Linked DNA regions of Macaca fascicularis. The protein of the gene in region 1 binds, or shares a complex with, the protein of each later gene. Links are inferred from orthologs where the notes say so. Each region holds a gene or a part of one and is shown in the gene's direction. Other genes may lie near its edges.

The links. The genes of interacting proteins can lie anywhere in the genome.
Region 2: LSM8 (region 1) and LSM2 share a complex: the UniProt entries of both Homo sapiens proteins name them as parts of the precatalytic spliceosome. The link is inferred for Macaca fascicularis from reciprocal best matches to the Homo sapiens genes LSM8 and LSM2.

What each region holds. Positions count from the first base shown.
Region 1 is NC_088377.1:159,618,745-159,626,335, forward strand, and holds the start of LSM8 (LSM8 homolog, U6 small nuclear RNA associated), read left to right. Parts: upstream 1-3,370; 5' UTR 3,371-3,481; coding exon 3,482-3,512; intron 3,513-4,911; coding exon 4,912-4,952; intron 4,953-7,462; coding exon 7,463-7,590; intron 7,591-7,591. UniProt on the Homo sapiens protein: Plays a role in pre-mRNA splicing as component of the U4/U6-U5 tri-snRNP complex that is involved in spliceosome assembly, and as component of the precatalytic spliceosome (spliceosome B complex).
Region 2 is NC_088378.1:139,904,529-139,912,190, forward strand, and holds the start of LSM2 (U6 snRNA-associated Sm-like protein LSm2), read left to right. Parts: upstream 1-3,054; 5' UTR 3,055-3,217; coding exon 3,218-3,307; intron 3,308-3,648; coding exon 3,649-3,716; intron 3,717-7,662. UniProt on the Homo sapiens protein: Plays a role in pre-mRNA splicing as component of the U4/U6-U5 tri-snRNP complex that is involved in spliceosome assembly, and as component of the precatalytic spliceosome (spliceosome B complex).

The sequences.
Region 1 (7,591 bases):
TTTTGTAAAACCTTCTAAGATTCAAACTCATATCCATCTTTCCCTTCCTTAAGCACTTAAAATGTGCACAGCTGCATCTGTCCAATCATAAAAAACGGCAGTGAACAAAACACCGTATTGGAATAAGCTTTGGGACTTAAAAAAAAAAAAAAAAGAAAAAAAAAAAAAAAAAGGTTCTTTATGGTATACCCTATGTCCTTGAATAGTGTGTACTTATTATATATCAGGCTCTTCAAGTATTACTTTTAGTTCCTCAACAATTACATGTAGTTTTGTGTAGTTTTCCCCATTTTACAGATGGGGAAACAGGCACAGAAAGTTAAGTATGCTCAAAGTCACACAAATAAAAATTCAGGCAGTTCTTGAGTCAGTGTTCTTAATAATGATCCTAAACTCCTTCTCAATTACCGAATCACCTATATTTGATTTTTTCCATCCCTAAAGTAATGGAGTTAAATCTACCTGTCTTTATTACCCTAAATGAAAAACATAAGTAGAGCACTTTGTAATGCATAGTGTTAAATGGAGACTATTAATAACCTTTATTTGTAATTTGGAATATTCATTTTTTAATGCAATAATTATTTCACTTTTATACTTAAAGGTCTGTAACTATTCAGGAATTTCCTTGTAAGTAGAGACGCACGATCTACTTATGTCCTTTTCTGCCTAGGAGAACTCTGGTTAGATCTATTCAATATATATTACTGTTTGGTTAACACCCTTGCAACTTGCAGGGAAGTAAAGCATAAACACAGAAAAGGAAATAAAAGTTCCCATCACATAAGGTTAAAAATATTATTTTATTTTAAAAATTTTATTTAAAAAATTGTATAGTTTTCCATAAACTATTCAGAGAAGGGCAAATTCAGTTTCCTCAGATTCTACCAGAAGTCTGATCCTTTAGGTTAATGTTTTCTGCTCAAGAGTTAGATTCAGAAGTAATGGAATAAAATTATCTATTACAAGCATACTTTGGTTGATACTTTATCAGTGATATGTCATTTAAATACGCATTACTTTGAGAGATTTGGACTTAAGGGGCAAGTTTCACCCTTAACTCTTAATTTTTTAGTAGTCAGATGTTTATATGTATCAGTTTTCCCTTGTTGGAGCTTTAACGTAATTCTCCTTTATGAGATGCTAAGCTCTCTACATTCACATACTCTCAAGGGTACATGGCTAATACAGATAAATCATACATGTAATGTTTGCATCCAGATGTAATTCATTTTTTGTCTTAATAACTGGACTTTTATCTATCCAGAGGCTTTCTCGTTACATCTGTGATCCTTACAGACTACAGAAAACATAGCAGTTTTAAGACACATGCAAAAAAGTTTCCAGCCAAAGAGATTTTGTGATGCTCCATAAATACTGTACATCTGTTATTTATCTGGCATATTACTTTAATAACTACACAAGGCCATAGACTTACAATGTATTTATGATGAAAGTAGTTTCGTAAGCTACCATATAATGTTAAACATTTTCAAAACAAAAGCACACTCTAAGTGATGAAAAGCTGTTGGGAGTATTTATTTTTTTACTTTTATTTTTTATTTTATTGAGATGGAGCATCGCTCTGTCGCCCAGGCTGGAGGGCAGTGGCACGATCTCCGCTCACCGCAACCTTCGCCTCCCAGGTTCTAGTGGTTCTCCTGCCTCAGCCTCCCTAGTAGCTGCGACTACAGGCACCCGCCACCACGCCGGCTTATTTTTGTATTTTAGTAGAGACGGGGTTTCACCATGTTGGCCAAGATGGTGTTGATCTCTTGACCAAGTGATCCGCCCGCCTCGGCCTCCCAAAGTGCTGGGATTACAGGTGTGAGTCACTGTACCCAGCTTTATTTTTATAAGATCACACAGAGGTTAGTTTTTATGTTTTTGAGATGGAGTTTCGCTCTTGTCGCCCAGGCTGGAGTGCAATGGCGTGATCTCAGCTCACTGTAACCACCGCCTCCCGGGTTCAAGCGATTCTCCTGCCTCAGCTTCCAGAGTAGCTGGGATTACAGGCATACACCAACACTCCCAGCAATTTTTTTGTTTTAAACAAAACTCTTAACACCTCGTTAATCATTAATTAGTCTTTGGGTTTTGATTCAACTCCTAACATTTGCAAATCACACAATTATCTTTGTTCTTTCATTTGTGGAAGACACTTTCATTTGTTACCCTGAGAATATGAGACATTCACAATCTAATTCCTGACTACATTTGATTTCAAACAGATCGGAATAACTTCCAGAATATAAAATTTTAACTATTTGGGAGTCATCTTGTAGGTATCTTGTGGGTATGCTCTAATTAAGAAATGCTTCCTTTTCCCAGGAAAACTGCTGACATTGCAAGAGTTATTCCAAAGCCACAATTCTTAAGAAAATACATGTTTAACCTAAATCATAAAGATATTTTGTAAAAAAGGGAAATCGCTCCTGCTGATGTTTTGTGTATAAATCTCTTTCTAACTTCAAGCTCTCTCAAGTTAGGGCAACACAGTAAATAAAGTGGGAACAGTATCACATTGGGAAATATCTGAAATGATACCTATGGCACTATAAGGAAACTGAGGCCCAGAAGAATTGAAGTGACCTGTGCAATGACACCAATACGTTAGCAGAGCCAAGATTAGAACCAAGTTTGGTGCCTTCCTGCATCAGTCCTTTCTTGGTGCTGAAGGAGCCTTTTATTTATTAATTTCACCCTGGAGAATTCCGGCAGACCATCCCGGCGTGGTAGAAGCGTGAACATTCGTTTTCTAAGGGATGGTCACACACCTTTTTCTATTTGCATTTAGTTTCTTTAAAAAGTAAAAACACCTCCATTTTGGACCACTTTTAGAGACAAAAGCAGAACATACGAACGTGCATTTCATTGTTGAGTTCTTAAGACGCTTACACCGTGTGGTTATAACGTGCGCAACTTTGTCCCGGCCAACTGGACTTATTTTTAGTGTTATTTTCGGCTCCTGCTGCAGAAAACTAGGGATTCAACTACCCGCACCCGCATTTCACACAACAGCGCTCGTCTACTCTCCTCCTTCACTCCTAATAAAAAACGCCTTATCCTGTTTCTTCCTGCCTGCTCTACCTCAACATTTTCACTTATTATCTTCCACCACACTGGGTTTTACTCGGATTGGAAACCCACTCTCCCCCAACTTCTCTCTCGTACCCCACCTTCGGGAAGCGTCCTCCTTTTTTCCGCCTCTCGTTCCCTTTGTCTTACACGGCTTCCGGAACACGGCCCAGAATTACAGCGAAAACACACTGCGCACGCGCACTCTCTCGTCAGAGCGGCGCTGCTTCTGTTTGGTTGGCTAGTTCGTCCCAATTTCCGAGTCAAAGGGCTGCGGAGCAGCAACTCTCACGATATTTGCGGCGGCCCGCAGACGCGAACCGCTGCCGAGTTCTGGCGCGCCCTTTCAGTTCTGCTTGTGGCCGGCACCACTGCGTTATCCGGAACTGCCGGTCCGAGCAGCATGACGTCCGCCTTGGAGAACTACATCAACCGTATCCTCAAGCTGGCCGCCGCGGGCGTGAGCCGGGGCCGCGGAGAGACCGCCGCTCGGGGATCGGTGGGAAGTTGGGAGGCCCGGCCGCGGCGGGATCCTGGGGGCGGGCGAGATGAGGACCCCGGAATGACCCAGAGTTCGGCGGCGGCGCCTAGAGCCTGCCAGCTGCTGCGGGCCCAGGGGTCCTTTCCATTTTGTCTACAAAAGCCAAATAAAAACCCAGTGTGATTTTTCCGAACTTTTCTGTCTTAAAAAAAATTACGCTCTTGATTCTTCCTTACTATTTCCCTAGGGCATAAGTGTTCAAGTTTGTAAATAAGATTAACAGTCGTCCTGGCTGCGACAACAGTTTTGCAAATCTGTGTACTTGTTTTATTCACATAATATGCTCATTAGTTCGAGGATAGCAGAAAGTTTAACGATGGTTCACAGACTGTTTCTGTCCCTTTACCACTTGAAGACCCTACCTGGTGGTGGAATGAAAAAAATGCTTGCTGTTGTAATGGATTATAGTGAGGAGCAAGTAACAACCCCACGGGAAGTCTTAAAATAGACTTTACAAGTGTTACCGTTTTAAAGTCTCAGAACAAAAACACTATGTTAAGTTCAGGTACAAACTGGGTGACAAAAATTAAATACCGAATGCTTTTAATGTTACAGGCATTGTTAGTACCTTGTGACACTGATTATATAGTTTATTTACTTTTGAATTACAGAAGCCTGCCCCGGAAGACAGTTTTTTAACATGCTTGAAAATCGTCCAACATCGATGAATTTAGTACTCATCCAGTTTTCATTTTAGATATAAACAGGCCCAAGAAACGAAATATCCTGTCCGAAATAATAGATTGGCAGCATTCCTAGTAGAAAAGTGTCAAAAATCCAGGATATTTTGAGATAGGATACACCGATCACATACAGAAAGAGGTTTTCTTTTCTATTTTTTCCTTTTTTTAGTCATGTAATTATCACAAAACTAAAACAAGCTTTTAAAAAATTTTTTTTCTTTCTTTTTTTGAGTCGAGGGTCTCACTGTGTTGCCCAGGCTGGAGTGCAGTGGCTTGATCATGGCTCAATGCAACCTTGAACTCCTGAGCTCAAGCTATCCTCCTGCCTCTGCCTCTGTCTCCTGAGTAGCTGGGACTATAGGTCACCAGGCCAGGGTAGTAGAGATGGGGGGGGTCTCACTGTGTTTCCCAAGCTAGTCTCACCTCAAGTGATCCTCCTGCCTTGGCGTCCCAAAATCTTTCAACGTTTTTATGTAGTGAACTTAGTGGCTGTGTTGAACACTTTTACCTAATTGTCATATTTGTTCTAATAATTTAAATCATTACCTTGCCAGAGTCTGTTTTCAATTTGCATTCCCTAAGAAACACTTTCCTTTATTCAGTTATCAGGAACTGTTGCCGTTATTACATCTGATGGGAGGATGATTGTGGTAAGTCTTCGGAATTTTCATTCTCTGCTTTCCTGTAGGTTTATTGGTTGCAAGTTTTATGTGAAACCTCTGATCTCTAATGCCTAGACAGCACATTACACCTGTAGTGCAGTTTTATTATAATTCAGCTCTTTATCACTTTGCTGTCAATCCACGTTTTCCTCACTCATAAACGTGGCGTGTTACCTACAAGGCTTCTAGGAGCTAGAGTTATAGATTCTGCCCTCAGAGAGCTCCTAGTCTGCAGACCTTCATTAAACTTACTTTTCTTCTTCCATTTTTATTTCCTTCCTCATTCGGCACCACATGAATCAGAATTTTTTGAAATTTTGCATATGCTTAGTAACTTTTTAATGATTTAGATACTATTAATATCTACATATCAACATTTAAGGCTTGTATACAATCTTAACATTCTTTGTTTTTAGGTTGTGTGACATGTCTTCTGTAGGACACATTATGATGATTGACTCTCTCTATATACACATATTTACGTAAAATTGGCTTGTTCCTTGAAGTTGTTTCTCCCTTGCTAATTTATGTCATATAACAAAGATAAAACGTTCCTATGGTGATACTTGTATTTGGAATTTGATCTGAGGAATTCATCTCAAGATTTTTGGGCACTTGATTATTTCTTCACTTATAATTCCTACTCCAAATGCTTTCAAAAGAATTTTAAGGCTACTAAACTTTTCTAACCCTACCTAGTTTCTTTAAATAATTTGATCCCTTATTTTTCCATTCTGCAGTTTTGCTTTCGTTTGTTCTTAGTGACTATTGTTAGTCAAAGTTCTAGCTTTGCCATTTACTAAATTTATATCGTGTGCCAGGTGCATATGTGTTACATTAATTAATGTACATACAACCTTGTGAAGAATAAGTACCCCTGTATTCTAGATTAGGAAACAAGTTCAGAGAAGGTGACTCACTTTCTCAGAGTCACAAGGGTAGCAGGTGACAGAACCAAACTGGGATTTAAATTTGGTTTGACATCAAAGCCAAGGCCAGTTGCCTGGCTTCTTTCTTAAGGAAGCAATCATGTTTTCTTAGGCACCTCACATTGTATTTTTTCAAATGTGGACAGTTTGACATATTTTAACCTCAACACTTCAAGAAGCCTATTGCTATTAATAGATGTTTGCATTATTTTTTATTTAGTGAAAACCTTACGTTTAAATTTTCTTATTTTTGTTAACAGGATAATAAACTGGGAAATTATTTTTAATTTTAAAGAAGAAGGAAAGCGATATAAAAAGAGCATCTTAAGTTCTAAAGTTCAATAGTTCTGTATTTCTTTGACACATAATTTATTTGATGGGATAGTTAATGGGCAAAATGAAGCCAATAAGTTATGAATGGGTGTTTATAATAATAACCATTTGCTAACTAGTTCAATAAATACTCCATATTTTGTTTCTCTTCCAAGTTATAGATTTCTTTTTATTTAATTCTCATTTTATATATTTTGACTTTCAGAGGATAAAACAGTTTAAGAGCTTGAGAGATTTAACCATCAAAACCAATGTTAGTTGATAATTCTTCAGAAACTTGAATACCATCTGAGTTACTCTGTTATGCTAGACCCATGCCTTCTTTTATTCAATTCTAAACTTTCATAAAACTCTCCCTGATTATTTCCTTCAAGTTCTGGTTCTAATTAGTATAGTCACATTTGTATCTACCTTACTGGGAGAGTTCAATAATACATCCATTTGATACACATTAAACAATACATGTGAGACAGACGGAGCACCGGTAACTAAAGTACTCGTTAGGTGTTATATGTAACTACTAAATTTTTAAAATATTTATGGGACTGATTTGAATCTCTGAAAAATGGCAAATTATATTTACTTGTGTATGATAGTATAGAATGTTACGGTTTAGTGGTCTGACTCAGGAGCTAGCCTTTTGTGGTTCATCTCCTGGCTCTGCCACTTACTACCCATGTGCCCATAAGACACACCACTCTGTGCCTCAGTTTCTTCTTTGAAATGGGGCTAATTATAGTATTAAAGGGTAGAGATGAGTTGAGACAATGTGTACGATGTGTTTAGCACACTGCTTAGTGCTGGTATGTAGCATATAGTGATACATTACATTGCTGTAGTTGGTATGTATGGTTCTTCCTTATTTATGTATATTTGCCCATCAGTTTCCCTTAAATCTCCTTTGTTTTAGTTTATACCTTTAGCTGCTGGTCTTCGTAAGCTTTTATGCTAGTTACTTTTTGGAGATACTCAAATTAGTACATAGTTGTCGTTTCTAACTGCCGTCAACTCTGCATATGAGTGAGATGTGTGGTGCAGGACCCCCACCCCAGCCAAACAACCAAGAGGTAAATTGTGTACCCTCGAATACTGTTGGTTATAAAAAAGGTATTTTATTTGACATTGTATTGTTACTTGTATTGGAATACTTGGCAACTGAAATGATTGTGAGGCTGAATTTACACTTTCAGGTAAACCAGAATATTTCTCTTTTTCTCCTGAATATTTTCTTTACAGGGAACACTGAAAGGTTTTGACCAGACCATTAATTTGATTTTGGATGAAAGCCATGAGCGAGTATTCAGCTCTTCACAGGGGGTAGAGCAAGTGGTACTAGGATTGTACATTGTAAGAGGTGACAACGTG
Region 2 (7,662 bases), on another chromosome or scaffold:
CAAGCTCTGCTTCCCGGGTTCACGCCATTCTCCTGCCTCAGCCTCCCAAGTAGCTGGGACTGCAGGCGTCCACCACCATGCCCGGCTAATTTTTTGTATTGTTTTAGTAGAGATGGGGTTTCACCATGTTAGCCAGGATGGTCTCAATCTCCTGACCTCAGAATCTGCCCACCTCAGCCTCCCAAAGTGCTGGGATTACAGGTGTGAGCCACCGCGCCCGGCCCATGAACTCATTGTTTCAATCAGCACATAATTTTTGATCCTCAGATACCTTTAGCACAGATGGAACAGATTGTAAACTATAACTGCTTTTAATCAGTTACAGGCTGGTTTTGGTGTTTAGGACTCAGCTTGGGGTGGAGGGACAAATCCTGCTTGATGTCCTGATGTATAGGTAAGGTCCAGGAGGTTCAGCATCTGTGCACTCACAGAGTTCATTGTTTACATTCATTATATGGAGAAAATATTTCTTTTCTTTCTTTCTTTTTTTTTTTTTTGGAGACAGAGTTTCACTCTTGTCGCCCAGGCTGGAGTGCAATGGCATGACCTTGGCTCACTGCAACCTTCGCTTCCCGGATTCAAGCAATTCTTCTGCCTCAGCCTCCTGAGTAGCTGGGATTACAGGCGCTCACCACTACACTCAGCTAATGTTTGTGTTTTTAGTAGAGATGGGGTTTCACCATGTTGACGAGGCTGTTCTGAACTCCTGACCTAGGTGATACACCCACCTCAGCCTCCTAAAGTGCTGGGATTATAGGCGTGAGCCACCATGCCTAGCCCCAGAAAATATTTCTATAACAAACTCTTGACAAATAAGTACTTCTATGCAAGATGACAAATATAAGTTTATGAAGTCTTAGTCCATGAAAAAATATTTTTACCGGCCGGGTGCAGTGGCTCACACCTGTTATCCCAGCACTTTGGGAGGCCGAGGTGGGTGGATCATGAGGTCAAGAGATCGAGACCATCCTGCCCAACATGGTGAAACCTCGTCACTACTAAAAATACAAAAATTAGCTGAGCATGGTGGTGCACGCCTGTAGTCCCAGCTACTCGGGAGGGTGAGGCAGAGGAATTGCTTGAACCTGGGTTGTGGAGGTTGCAGTGAGCTGAGATCGTGGCACCGCACTCCAGCCTGATGACAGAGCAAGACTGCATCTCAAAAAAATTTGTTTTCTTTTACCTGTGTCCTAATATACATTTATAAAAACCTGGGGGACATGAGTTAGAATGATATGTAACTGTGCATTTCTGTCTGTGTTTGAAACATTTGGCAGTGAAATGTTAGACTGGGTTATTTGCATCTGTAAGCCACAGTCTCTTTTTACTCAGTCCTTTACAGGACAGTCTTGGCAAAAGTGTGTAAGAAATATGGAGATTGAGGTTGGCTCCTTTGGAGAAATATATTTATTGGTAACCTTTGATAAAACCAAAATTTGTGCTCCAGCTCCTTATCTCTGGGACTCCTCAACATTTTTTTGTTTTTTATAATTTTCTTTTTTATAGACAGAGTCTTGCCCAGGCTGGAATGCAGTGGGGAGATCGTAGCTCACTGTAACTCTTGGGTTCAAATGATCCTCCTGCCTCAGCCTCCCAAAATGCTGGGATTTACAAGCCTCAACATTTTGTTGTTGTTGTTGTTTTGAGACAAGAGTTTCACTGTTGTTGCCCAGGCTGGAGTACAATGGCACGATCTCCACTCACTGCAACTTATACCTCCCGGGTTTACAGGCGCGTGCCACCACACCTGGCTAATTTTTGGGTTTTTAGTAGAGACAGGATTTCGCCATGTTGGCCAGGCTGGTCTAGAACTCCTGACCTCAGGTGATCCATTTGCCTTGGCCTCCCAAAGTGCGGGATTATAGGCGTCAGCCACTGCGCCCGGTCAATTTTTTTTTTTTTTTTTTTTTTTAAAGACGGAGTCTCTCTCTGTCACCCAGGCTGGAGTGCGGTGGCGGGATCTCAGCTCACTGCAAGCTCCGCCTCCCGGGTTCACGCCATTCTCCTGCCTCAGCCTCCCGAGTAGCTGGGACTACAGGCACCCGCCACCTCGCCCGGCTATTTTTTTGTATTTTTTAGTAGAGACGGGGTTTCACCGTGTTAGCCAGGATGGTCTCGATCTCCTGACCTCGTGATCCGCCCGTCTCGGCCTCCCAAAGTGCTGGGATTACAGGCGTGAGCCACCGCGCCCGGCCAATTTTTTTTTTTTTTTTGAGACGAGTCTCGCTCTGTCGCCCAGGCTGCAGTGCAGTGGCATCATCTTGGCTCCCTGCAACCTCCACCTCCCGGGTTCACGCAATTCTCCTTCCTCAGCCTCCCGAGTAGCTGGGATTACAGGCGCCCGCGACCACGCCTGGCTAATTTTTTTTGTATTTTTAGTGAAGACGGGACTTCACCATGTTGGCTAGCCTGGTCTCGAACTCCTGACCTCACACAATCCATCCACCTTGGCCTCTCAGAGTGCTGGGATTGAAGGCGTGAGCCACCGCCCTCGGCCTTTTTTTTTTTTATCAGCTGAATTTAAGATTAAAAACATTTTTTAATTTTATTTTTTGAATTTTATGTTTTTACTTTAACAAATATAGAAAAGTGCACACTTCATAATCTTCACAAACTCCCCACAATTCTCGATAGGATGTGTGTAGAGGGCACGAACACATCACGCTGTGGACGGCAGGGTTATGGAAAACAAAACCTTTTGAGCTCAGACGCCGAGTGCCTCCACCCGCCTAGCAGCCCAGGCTAGGGTCCGCGCCTGCGCAATGGGAGCCGGCCGGCCCTGGAAGAAGTCGGAACGAAGGAAACCCCGCCCCTTTCCCGGCTTCCTCCTCCCCTCGGTTTTACCCAGCTTGCGCTCCCCAGCCGCAAGTCGGCCGCGCTTTACCCTTCAGCGCTTGGAGGGTTCTGCGTCCCTTCCCGCTGCGCCTGCGCGGTCCCGCCTCGCCCCACGCGCGGGCTCGCGCTTCGGTTCTCCCAGACCTGGTCTCAGCATCCGGCTCTTTTCTCGCTCCGGCCCGCTGCCCGCTGCGCCAGCACCATGGTGGGTACCGTGACGTCAAAAGGGGTCGCCCTCGGGGATCTCGGACGGTTGGGGCAGGGGGGTCTGGCCTTTGTCCCCCTAGGCTGGAGTTAGGTCCGGAGTTTTTATCTTCATCGTTAGTCCTGTTCCTCAAGTTCGTTGAGGAGACACCTGAGAGCAAATGGGATTTTTTTTTCCATGATGAGGAAAAAAACCCCAACCCTGAGAGAGATTCAGTGGGGACAGCGGGAGACGGAAAAGTTAGACCTTAGAGCACTTCTCTGCCAGGCAAGCTTCGGCAGGGTGCGGGTGGGATGTTTTCTGTAATTCATTGAAAGGAGTGGGCAGGTACCCGAGAAAGGTGGTCGATTGAGAGAGCACACTGGGGAGGCCGAGGTATGCAGGGCAGAGCCTCTCTGGGACTTTAAGTGATGGGCTCAATGCAGTGTGCAGAATAATTTGGGCTCCAGCCTTTCACCTCTCAACCAATTATTCTTTCCTGTGAAATTTTGAGAACTGTTAGGGATGCAATGGGGTTCACAATACCGGTATTTGGTAATACTGTCAAGGGACACTCCTCCCTACCATGTTCCTTCCCACATGATGGTTTTCCCCCTCTCTCCCAATAGCTCTTCTATTCTTTTTTCAAGTCCCTTGTGGGCAAGGATGTGGTCGTGGAACTCAAGAATGACCTGAGGTAGGTACCTGTTCCAACAAGTCTGTTGGGGGTGGGTGTGCCCAGGGCCCTGGAACCTCTTTAATTTGAGAAATATTTGAGGGCTGGGTGAGGTGGAATATGTACAGAAGAAATAAATGGCCGGGTGCGGTGGCTCACGCCTGTAATCTCAGCACTTTGGGAGGCTGAGGTGGGCGGATCACGAGGTCAGGAGATCAAGACCATCCTGGCTAACACGGTGAAACCCTGTCTCTACTAAAAATACAAAAAATTAGCCAGGCATGGTGGCAGGCGCCTGTAGTCCCAGCTACTTTGGAGGCTGAGGCAGGAGAATGGCGTGAACCTGGGAGGCAGAGCTTGCAGTGAGCCCAGATCACGCCACTGCACTCCAGCCTGGGTGACAGAGCGAGGCTCTGTCTCAAACAAACAAAAGAAATAAATGGGTGGGGTGCAGTGGCTCACGCCTGTAATCCCAGCACTTTGGGAGACTGAGGAGGGAGGATTGCTTGAGCCCAGGAGTTTGAGGCTGCAGTGAGCAGTGATTACTCCATTGCACTCTAGCCAGGGCAATAGAGCAAGACCCCATCTCTAAGACAAATTTTAAAATTTAACAATAAATAAATGCCTTGTGCCTTAAATTTACAGATAAGCTTGGGGATTGTATTGTGTATTGGAAAACAATACAAAGCAATATACAGTTTAAAGAGTAAATACTGGTCAGGTGTGGTGGCTCATGGGCTGGACGTGTGGCTCATGCCTGTAATCCCAGCACTTTGGGAGGCCGAGGTGGGTGAATCACGAGGTCAGGAGTTCAAGACCAGTCTGGCCAAGATGGTGAAACCCCGTCTCTACTAAAAATACAAAAATTAGCCAGGCATGGTGGCAGGTGCCTGTAATCCCAGCTACTTGGGAGGCTGAGGCAGGAAAATCGCTTGAACCTGGGTGGCAGAGGTTGCAGTGAGCTGAGATTACGCCACTGCACTCCAGCCTGGGTGACAGAGTGAGACTCTGTCTCAAAAAAAATAAATAAAGAGTAAGTACTAGGCTGGCCATGGTGGCTCACACCTGTAATCTCAGCACTTTGGGAGGCTGAGGCAGGAGGATCACTTGAGTCCAGGATGTCGAGACTAGCCTGGGCAACATAGAACCATTTCTATAAAAGATTAGCCAGATGTGGTTTACATGCCTGTAGTCCCAGCTATTCGGGAGACTGAGGTGGGAGGATCACTTGAACCCAGGAGGTCGAGGCTGCAGTGAGCCATGATTGTACCACTTTACTCCAGCCTGGGTGACAGAGGAAGACTGTCTCAAAAAAGAACAGGCCAGGCCAGGCGCAGTGGCTCACGCCTGTAATCCCAGCACTTTCGGAGGCCGAGATGGGCGGATCACGAGGTCAGGAGATTGAGACCATCCTGCCTAACATGGTGAAACCCCGTCTCTACTAAAAATACAAAAAATTAGCCTGGTGTGGTGGCGGGCGCCTGTAGTTCCAGCTACTTGGGAGGCTGAGGCAGGAGAATGGCATGAACCCAGGAGGTGGAGCTTGCAGTGAGCCAAGATGGCACCACTGCACTCCAGCCTGGGCGACCAGAGCGAGACTCCATCTCAAAAAAATAAACAAAAAAACAGAACAGGCCATAGGCTGGGCATGGTGGCTCATGCCTGTAATCCCAGCACTTTGGGAGGCTGAGGTGGGTGGATCACAAGGTCAAGAGATTGAGACCAGCCTGGCCAACATGGTGAAACCTACGTATTAGATATGCTACTGTGTATCTAATACCTAGTATAGGCCAGTTGTATGATAGGTGCTTAAGGAAAGAAAAATAATATCTGAAGACCTATTGACTAAGCACTATTCTGAATACATTTATTGATTGATTTCTCAAACACTCCTTAGTAATATGTACTATTGCTGTTATACATATGAGGAAACTGAGGCTTAGATCAGCTATACCACTTGTTCAAGTCTACAAAACTAGTAAGTGATACAGAACAGAAATATGATTATGTCCAGCTTTTTTCTTTTTCTTTTTTCTTTTTTTTTTTTTGAGATAGTCTCGCTCTGTCGCCCAGGCTGGAATGCAGTGGTGTGATCTCTGCTCACTGTAAGCTCTGCCTCCCGGGTTCATGCCATTCTCCTGCCTCAGCCTCCCCAGCAGCTGGAACTATAGGCGCCTGCCACCACACCTGGCTAATTTTTGTATTTTTAGTAGAGACGGGGTTTCACCGTGTTAGCCAGGATGGTCTCGATCTCCTGACCTTGTGATCCGCCTGCCTCGGCCTCCCAAAGTGCTGGGATTACAGGCGTGAGCCACTGCGCCTGGCTTTTTTTTTTTTTTTTTTGAGATGGAGTCTCTGTCACCTACGCTGGAGTGCAGTGGCGCGATCTCGGCTCACTGCAGCCTCCGCTTCCTGGGCTGAAGCAATTCTCTGCCTCAGCCTCCCGAGTAGCTGTGATTACAGGCGTCCACCACTATGCCTAGCTAATTCTTGTATTTTTAGTGGAGAAGGGGTTTCACCATCTAGGCTAGGCTGGTCTTGAACTCTTGACCTTGTGATCCACCCGCCTTGGCCTCCCAAAGTGATGGGATTACAGGTGTGAGCCACTGCACCTAGTCCTATTTTCTTTCTTAAAATAATATTTATTTATTTAAAAATTAGAGACAGTGTCTCGCTTTGTTACTCAGGCTGGTTTCAAACTCTTGAGTTCAAGCAATCCTCTTGCTTCAGCTTTCCGAAGTGCTGGGGTTACAGGCATGAGCCAGCATGCCTGGCCCTGTACTTATCTGTACAGTCCTTTAAATGATATGTACATTTAGGCCAGATGCAGTGGCCCACACCTGTAATCCCAGCACTTTGGGAAGTCAAGGCGGGCAGATGCCTGAGGTCAGGAGTTTGAGACCAGCTTGTCCAATATGGTGAAACCCCCATCTCTACTAAAAATACAAAAATCAGCCAGGCGTGGTGTTGTGTGCCTGTAATCCCAGCTGTTCGGGAGGCTGATGCAGGAGAATTGCTTGAACCCAGAAGGCGGACGTTGTAGTGAGCTGAGATCAGGCCACTGCACTCCAGCCTGGGCGACAGACTGAGACTCCATCTCAAAAAAAAAAAAAAAAAGTACATTTAAAATATTGATACCTATTATCTCGTTATCCTTTAGAAAGATGGGGTCAATTGTATTCTCTTCCCAAAAGTGTCTTCCACATTTATTTTTTTGAGATGGGGGTCTCACTGTGTTGTCCAGGCTGGAGTGTAATGGCACAGTCATAGCTCATTCAGCCTCCTGAATAGGTGGGGCTACATGCCACCACGCCCAGCTAATTTTTTAATTATTTGGAGAGGCAGAGTCTCACTGTGTTGCCCAGGCTGGTCTCAAACTCTTGGGCTCAAGCAGTCCTGCCACCTTGGCCTCCCAAAGTGCTGGAATTACAGGCATGTGCCATGTGCCTGGTTGTCTTCCACATTTCTATGTGATTTAATTTCTTCGTGGGTTACACGTTGACATGGCAGGGAATGGTGAGGAGAGGAACTTAAGGGCCGTTGCATTTTAGAACAGAGGTTTCCGTTTGTGGCACTGGCCATGCAGGTGGTATCGATGTGTATAGATTGGGGACACAGAGCAAGACAAGTATGGAAATCACTAGCAGTCTTAGGCAATTTGGTGTGATGACTTGTTTTTGATTCTCTTCTCCTTACTGGGCCTTTTATTTGGGAAGCCTGACTGTTGTGTTATAACCCTAGGCCCTAAAATACCTTTTTTTTTTTTTTGAGACAGATTCGTGCCCTGTCACCCAGGCTGGAGTGCAATGATGCGATCTCGGCTCACTGCAACCTCCGCCTACTGGGTTCAAGCAATTCTCCAGACTCAGCCTCCCTGGTAGCTGGGATTACAGGCACACGCCACCACGCCTGGTTAATTTTTTGTATCTTTAGTAGAGACAGGGTTTCACCATGTTAGTCAGGCTAG